Mus musculus: one gene and its partner. The protein of the gene in region 2 interacts with the protein of the main gene of each other region in a biochemical or structural test. Links are inferred from orthologs where the notes say so. Each region holds a gene or a part of one and is shown on either strand. Other genes may lie near its edges.

Evidence for each region.
Region 1: the proteins of Nfe2 (region 2) and Mafg form a complex in vitro, tested with the Homo sapiens proteins (2 studies listed by BioGRID and IntAct, with this or other methods). The link is inferred for Mus musculus from reciprocal best matches to the Homo sapiens genes NFE2 and MAFG.

Annotation. Positions count from the first base shown.
Region 1 is NC_000077.6:120,630,682-120,635,270, forward strand, and holds the start of Mafg (transcription factor MafG), read right to left. Parts: upstream 2,867-4,589; 5' UTR 2,681-2,866; exon of another isoform or gene 1-2,680. UniProt on the Homo sapiens protein: Since they lack a putative transactivation domain, the small Mafs behave as transcriptional repressors when they dimerize among themselves.
Region 2 is NC_000081.6:103,249,869-103,252,540, forward strand, and holds part of Nfe2 (transcription factor NF-E2 45 kDa subunit), read right to left. Parts: exon of another isoform or gene 2,539-2,672; intron 1,886-2,538; exon of another isoform or gene 1,619-1,885; coding exon of another isoform or gene 1,579-1,618; exon of another isoform or gene 1,330-1,578; intron 1,231-1,329; coding exon of another isoform or gene 1,175-1,230; coding exon 1,061-1,174; intron 1-1,060. UniProt on the Homo sapiens protein: Component of the NF-E2 complex essential for regulating erythroid and megakaryocytic maturation and differentiation. Binds to the hypersensitive site 2 (HS2) of the beta-globin control region (LCR).

The DNA of each region.
Region 1 (4,589 bases), on a different chromosome or scaffold from region 2:
CAGGCAAGAGCCAGCCCCTTCAGGTCACTGACTGGTCTTTGGCTCTCTGCCTAGGGTCAGTGACCACAGGGCCAGGGAACAAAAGCAAAACAGGTCCCTCCTACAGTCAGCCGCCCCTCCGGGCTCAACCTCATTTTCAGCTTTCTAAAGCCTTGCCAAGGACATTCTTGTGTACCTAGGCTGGGAATCCCCACTTAGCCCAACACCCACCAGTCCCACAGGCACATCCTCTCCTTTCCAGGTTAGGTGCAGGGAAATGAGGGAAGTGAGGTTGCTGCAGGTCTGTGAGCACTTCAGGCAAAAATGTGCTGGATGGGGAGTTGGTTCATCTTATCAAAGGAACTAACACATTCTCATTAGCTTTACCCTACTGCTTTTAGCTTTGAACAGGAGGTGTGGCTACATGCAAACACTGAGCAAGCAAACCAGGACTAAATCTACAGGACTAGATTAGGAGCATTTTCAGAGGCAACAGTACTGCTAGATCAAAGAGAAAGGCAGAACTCAGATCTAGAGGTCTGAAGGGCATCTGTCTTTCTTACAAGTTGGCCCTATACTCACACTAGGAGCATAAGTCGAGGTGAGGGGACAGTCCTGGCAGGAGCTTCCCTTATACAGACTGCTGAGCTCAAAACGGTGACTTCCTGAGATCGCACAGGAAAGTGCAGAGTGTGGCGGCTGGGAGCTGAAAAGTGCCTTCTCAACAGATTTTACCTCCACCAAAGGCCTGAACTCAGCACAAGTGCAGCCAACTGCCTCCTGATCAAAGGTGCACGAGAGAGAGAGAGAGAGAGAGAGAGAGAGAGAGAGAGAGAGAGAGAGAGAGAGAGAGAGAGAGAGAGAGAGAGAGAATGTGTGTGTGTTAGAGCGAGTGTGTGTACATGTTTATACGCATGTGTGCTTAAGGGGGAAGGGCAGGTCTCAGGAAAGCCAATTCTTCCAGCTACCTGCCTGGCTTCTGCAAACCTAGGGACACAGTGACTAGGCAGACAGTTCTGGGGGGGACAGCTGTGCTGAGGGATACAGTTTAGAGAGCTTTCCAGAGCCTGAGGAAGAAGCTCAGAGAAGCTGATCTGGACCTGCTGCCTCCAACTCAGCCCTCCAAGTACTCACAGTTATGGACAGACTCAAGACACCAAGGGGCTCTGGACCACTCATTCAGGCTGACCCTTAAAGAAGGGGTTTGGGCACCTCTGTCCTCTCACACTAGACAATCTGGACATTAGTCTCAAGCAAGATAGTGACCCTTCCTTGCTAAACCTTGCCTGTAAACCTCAATGCAGGAGACCCCCTACGTAGGTCTTCTCTCCTTCAGGTACTGACATTGTTTGAAGAGAACGGAAAACATTAAGTTCACTGAAGCACAGTGCCTCCGGAGTTTAACAATTTTCTGGAACCTTGAAGTTTCATAGGGCAAGTTCCACACCAAATGAAAAAAACACTGCACCTATGAGCAGCCTCAGGGCTCAGGGTTAAGGGGACATCCCTTAGCACAAACCACAAGGTAAGCACAGTCTAGACATGAATCCCTGGGCAAGGAAAGCAGTAGGATGGAGTTCAAGAACCTTCACGACAGATAAGTCAGTAAACAGCCATTCAGCCACACCCCACAAAACTGTCACCTCCCAAGAGTCTCCAGACACCCAACAGGGCACACACACTTTTTGGTAACTCCAGGCAACAGTGGGACCCCAAACTCTTCTGAAAGGAATAACATTGGGATAAATAAAACTACATCTTCTACTCCATGGTTGCACCTCAAAAACTCTCACCAGCTGCCTAGATCCACACTCTGCTCTCCTTAGCTGGTTAGAGCTGCCCCAGCTTCTTTCAAGCCACAGACCCTTCTCCCCCTGCCTCCCGGTCTTCCCCATCTAGGACCGACGAAGCCTGGCCATTCAGGGTCACAGAGAAGGAAAGCTTGCTTCCCAGACGAGCTGGCTCGGCCCACCTAAGCTCCTCCCCTCAGCGTACACCGATCGGTCTCCGGGTTTGGGGAACTGCCCCAGTTGTGGGACCCGGGCCAGGAGCCCAAGAACCAGGCAAGGATGCGCACGCCCGGGGCTTTACCTTCCACCCCGGGAGAAACCTGCGGCGCGCCCCTGCAATGCCTCCTTCGGAGCCTTTGCCTCCAACTCACAGGTCTGTCAAACTTAAACACGACCCCGGATCCCGGCCCGACCTTCACCACCCGGATCGAGCCCTGTCTCCCGACTAGACCGGCCGATAGCGGGCCCCGGCCCCCCGCCCTGGCCCAGCGTCAGCAGGAGCACCGAGTGACCTCATGCTGATGACTCAGCACGTCTCCGCTGGGCTCGCACCCGCGTGGCGAGCCCAAGCCGCGCAGCAGGGTCTCCCCGCCGCCTCCCCTGTGGGCCCGCGCGCGACCCCGCCCGCGCGGAAGCCGACGGACACCTGATGAGTCAGCAGCTCGGTGCGGCCACCCCGCTGACCCGGGCAGACGCGCGCAGCTCGCCCTTAAATCGCGCCCCCCGCAGGGCACCCGGGGTCCGCCGCCGCGCGCACGCCCGTCCCCAGCCTCGCGGTCGCCCGGTCCGCCGGCTCTAGGGGGACACAGGCGAACAGCCGGCTGGCGGGGAAACCAAGGCACGCGCTGCCGTCGGGTGCGCCGCAACCCCGAGGCCAGGCCCCGCCGCCCGCCCCAGCCCCGCGCACTCACCACACTGCGGGCCCGGGCGGGCCAAGGCGGGGCTGGGGCGGGGCCGCGCGCGCGCGCTCCGGGGCTGCGCGGGGCTGGGGCGGGCGCGAAGGGTCCGGGCCGGGGGCTTAGGAGGACTGGCCGCCTGCGCGGGCCGGGCCAAGCGCGCTGGGAAGGCCGGGCCGGACCGGGCTCAGAATCCGCCGCCGCCGCCGCTCCTCAGACGTCACATGATGTTTGGTCACGTGGGTTCCATTCATGAAGCGGCGACGCGGCTGGCCTAAGCTTAAAGGGAAAGGCGAGGCGGCAGCAAGGCGAGCGCGCCCCCATCACGCCTGCGCAGCCCCGCGCCGTTGCCCTTGGCAACGCCCGCCGCGCCCTGGCAATGTCTCGCGGGAGTCGTCCCGGCGCTCGCCGGGTTGACCGTGCTCCTGCAGAGACAGGTTCTACGGAGTGGCCCCAACTCGGATGCCTCTAGCTCCCTCCCGATCTCCACACCAACTCAGACCGAGGTCTATGGGAGGTTTGTTTGATTTTCTTCACTTGGATGCATAGTTTCACTGTACAGCGAGCAGACTGGATTTCAATTCCCTGAGATGCTCCTGCCTCGGCCCCCTGAAAGCGGAACTCACAGATGAGCGTCACCACGCGGGAACCTATTTGCTGTTTTGAAGGTGTGACACAGTGATTTAGTTCCTTACCCCGTTCTGCTGCGACGTCCTCATTCTAAATGGGTCAGCAGTCTGAAAAGGACACGGCTGTTGAGGGGCACAGCCCCAACCCCAGCTCAGATCCCCAAACTATCCACGATGACACGAAGGCTTGGAGGACGCTCACTAATGATTCTAATCTCCGGAGGGTGCTAGGGGCTTCACCTGCGGCCGTGGACCATCTCTTCGGGTAGTGTGCGTGCACTGTAGGAGTTGTGCACTTTGCCCAACCCTTCTCTGCCGCATTTGAAACTACTTTGGGTGCATTCTGCTGCTACTTTTTCTGTGAGACTTCTCGCTGCTGTTGAAAAAGTAAAAAAGAAGGAAAGTAGGAGGGATCAAGTTTTCATTTCGAGGTTCTGAACGTTCTATTTGACCCTGTCTTCTCTGGGAATCGTGAAAAGGTGACTCGTTCTGTAACATAGGTGACAAGGAAAAGGGGGTAAGCAGGCTGGAGGGGGCCTGTGTGTGTCCTTTGTGTCAAATTTGGTTTCTTGAGACAAGGTTTAGACCAGGCTGGCCCCAAACTCTCAGAGATCCGACTGCCTCTGCCTCTCTAGTGCTGGGATTAAAAACATGTGCCACCACACCCAGCCTCAAAAAGTAATTCTTTACATTGTATTTCTTTGGGGAGTGGGGGGGGGGGAGCTTTTATCTTTCACTGGCTGTAGCCAGAGTCTCAGAATACAGAGAATTACTCCTTATGCCTTGTGGTGGTTTGAATAGAAATGGCCTGCATGAATTCTAAATGCCGTGTCTAAATGCTTGGCCCATAGGGAATGGCACTATTAGGAGGTGTGGTCTTGTTGGAAGACGATTGTCTCTGTGGGGACAGGCTTTGAGGTCTTATATACTCAAGCTATGCCCGTGTGTGACTTACAGTTTCTTGCAGCCTTCAGAATGCAGAACTCTAACTAAGCCCATCCTCCAGCAGCAAGTCGGCCCTGATTCAGTCTTGCTACTCTCCATGACAATAATGGATTAAACCTCTGAAAGCGTAAGCCAGACCCAATGAGATGTTTTCCTTTAGAAGAGCTGCCGAATGGAGTCTCTTCATGGCAATAAAACCCCTGAGACAAGACCTCTGGGTTTCTGTTACTTATCTTCATCCTCCCTCCCTTTGTTCTTGTTCTAGTTATGAGATAGGGTCTTAGTCTATAGGCTCTGTTGGTCAGCAGCAACCCTCCTGCTTCAGCCTCCCAAATGCTGGGACCACAGCC
Region 2 (2,672 bases):
CAGGACTATACAGAGAAACCCTGTCTCTGGGGAAAAAAAAAGAAAGAAAGAAAGGAAGAGAGACAGAGAAAGAAAGAATGAAAGAAAGAAAGAAAGAAAGAAAGAAAGAAAGAAAGAAAGAAAGAAAGAGAAAGAAAGAAAGAAAAAGAAAGAAAGAAAGAAAGAAAGAAAGAAAGAAAGAAAGAAAGAAAGAAAGAAAGAAAGAGAGATAAAGAAAGAAATCCTGTATCGAGAGGAAGAGAGGAAGGGAGGAAGACAGGAAAAAGAAGGAAAAGGGTAGTGAAGAGGAAAAGGCTGTTTAAGCAGGAATAAAAGTCACTGTTGAAACCTCAGAAGACAACCTCACATTGAACTGGTTACAAAGTCTCCTCAAGCCAAATGGCTCCTGTTCCGTTATTTTCTTCAGGAAGACAAGGTCATTATTATCCAAGATGGACTCTCAGAACCCTTTTCTGCTGTGGCTATCTAGAGTCAAAGGGTCAAGTTCAGGACTTTGCCATTCCCTGGGTGCCCAGCAGAGGGAGCCAGTGTGTGGAGGGAGGGTCTAAGGGCAGATCCTGAGGTGGAAGCAGGCACAGAGCCCAAGCTGAGGGTTCACTCTCTGTCCAGTCCCAGGTGCAGTGAGGAGGAGAACACATATTACAAACAAGGCCCCCAACTTACTTAGTGGAGCTATCCTGCTCAAGCCTAGCTGAGGACAAAGGCACCATTGTTAGACCAACAGACACCCCTTTGTCCTACATTCAGGAGGAGAGGACCCCAGCACAGTCTATCTCCCCTTTCTGAGGCCCTTTAACTAAGGCTCTGCTACCTGGAGAAAAAGAGTTTGTTGCTAAGGACGAGGAGTGGTAATGAGGGAAGATGGACAGAGCTGGAAGAGAATCGGATCAGATGAGAAGATAAAAGGGAGGAGTAGAGCAGAGAATGGTAGAGAGAGATGTAAGCAGAGCAGCTGGACAGAAGCCTACAACCCCAGCCAGAGTCTTCCCTTCCCCCTGGTGTTCCTCATTGCCCCCCTACTCTCTGCTTCTGGCCAGGCAAGAGCCCACCCCCTACTCACCTGCAGCTCAGTAATGGACATGATCTCTTGCCAAGTCAGTTCCATCTCTCCAAGCTCCCCAACAGGCAGCTGTGATAACCTGTTCCTGTTCTGCTGAGGAGGACACGGGGGCATCCTACTGTGCCAGCTGATGGCCCCAGGTCTCCACAAGCACAAAGGATTCCTGCAACCTGTGTTGAAGAAAGAAAGGTATTAGAGTTGCTCCCACCAAGTCAGAGGTTGTCCTCGTGCAGAATTTCCAGGAGAAAGGAGCGTTGTCAGTGACTCACAGGTGCCATCAACCACCCTATGAACTGTAATGTTCTTTTCTTCAGTGGAGTACTCTCTACCTCACCTGATCTGACCATAGTCAGTCCTCTGGACACAGAGTAGGTATCCTTACTTTTTCTCAGCAAGTTGCCTTCTCTTACTCCCTAAAAATGGTATTCCTGTCCAGAGACAAAATCCAGTCTTTCTCAGGTTTGGGGATTGAAATTTCATTTTCCATTCTGGAAGAAAACATCAAGAGTCACCCTTGCCTTCTTCTTGTGTCCTCAGCGTAGGGTCTAACCCTTTCATTGTTGTTTTTTAAAACAAGGTCTCGCTATGTGTCCCTGGCTGTGTCCTAGAACTTGCTATGTAGACCAGGCTGGCTTCTAGCTCACAGAGATCCGACTGCCTCTGCCTCCCAAGTGCTGGAATTAAAGGCATGTACCACCACACCTAGTATTTCAGCCCTTTCTTCCCAAGAAGTGAGTGCTTAGAGATCCTCAAGGAGTGTGTTGTGGGAAGTGTTAGTCAGACAGCCCCTCCCCTTCTCTGAGATAGGCCCCAAGCCTGCCGGTGATAGCAACCCTTCCCTCTCCTCCCATCCTTACTTTAGGTTCCCCTGCCTGGGCCAGATAAGGGGTTTATCAGCTGCAGGCAGCAGAGGCAGAGGAGGAATGGGCTCCAGGAGACACTGGACCTTTACCCTTTATCCCAACAAGGTCATTTGGTCATGTCCCACCCAGCATAACCAGGGCTCCTCTCTCTTCCAAGGTCAACACTCAACAAAGATTTAAGCAAGCACTTGTCAAGACTTTTATGCATTTTAAAAGCATATTAGGCTGGGCTTCACAAAGACCCTGTAAAGGCAGATCCTACAGGCAGATACTGAATAGATGGCAGGTTGGAACCTGATCACATCCATTGCTGCATTCTAAGCTCCTTTGGTTCCCAAAGTGCTGACTATCCACAACCCACGCCACTACAAGCAATTTACCTTAGCAAGTTCCCATAGTGTCTCAGGCCCTTTTCTCTTCTGGGCAATATCACTTTGGGCTCTCCTTCTGTCCCTCTTTTTAATCTGGGTTCTAGCTTTCAGCTCTGCTGCAAAGCAGCAGTGTGGTGTTGGGTAAGACACCTCACTGTTCCTGGTTAGTTCTCCCAGTAGTAAAGCCAGAAGGTTAGACAAGCCAACTTGAACCCTTACAGCCTGGTCATTTGCAAACTCTTACCGTGGTTTTCATCATCTCCTCTTGGTCCATCTCTCTCCTCATCCTGCCTCCATATTCCCTGATACCATCTCTATCTGAATCTGTTTTCTTTGTGTCCAAATAGATTTCAAGTAGACTTGGCAAGGTTCTCCTGA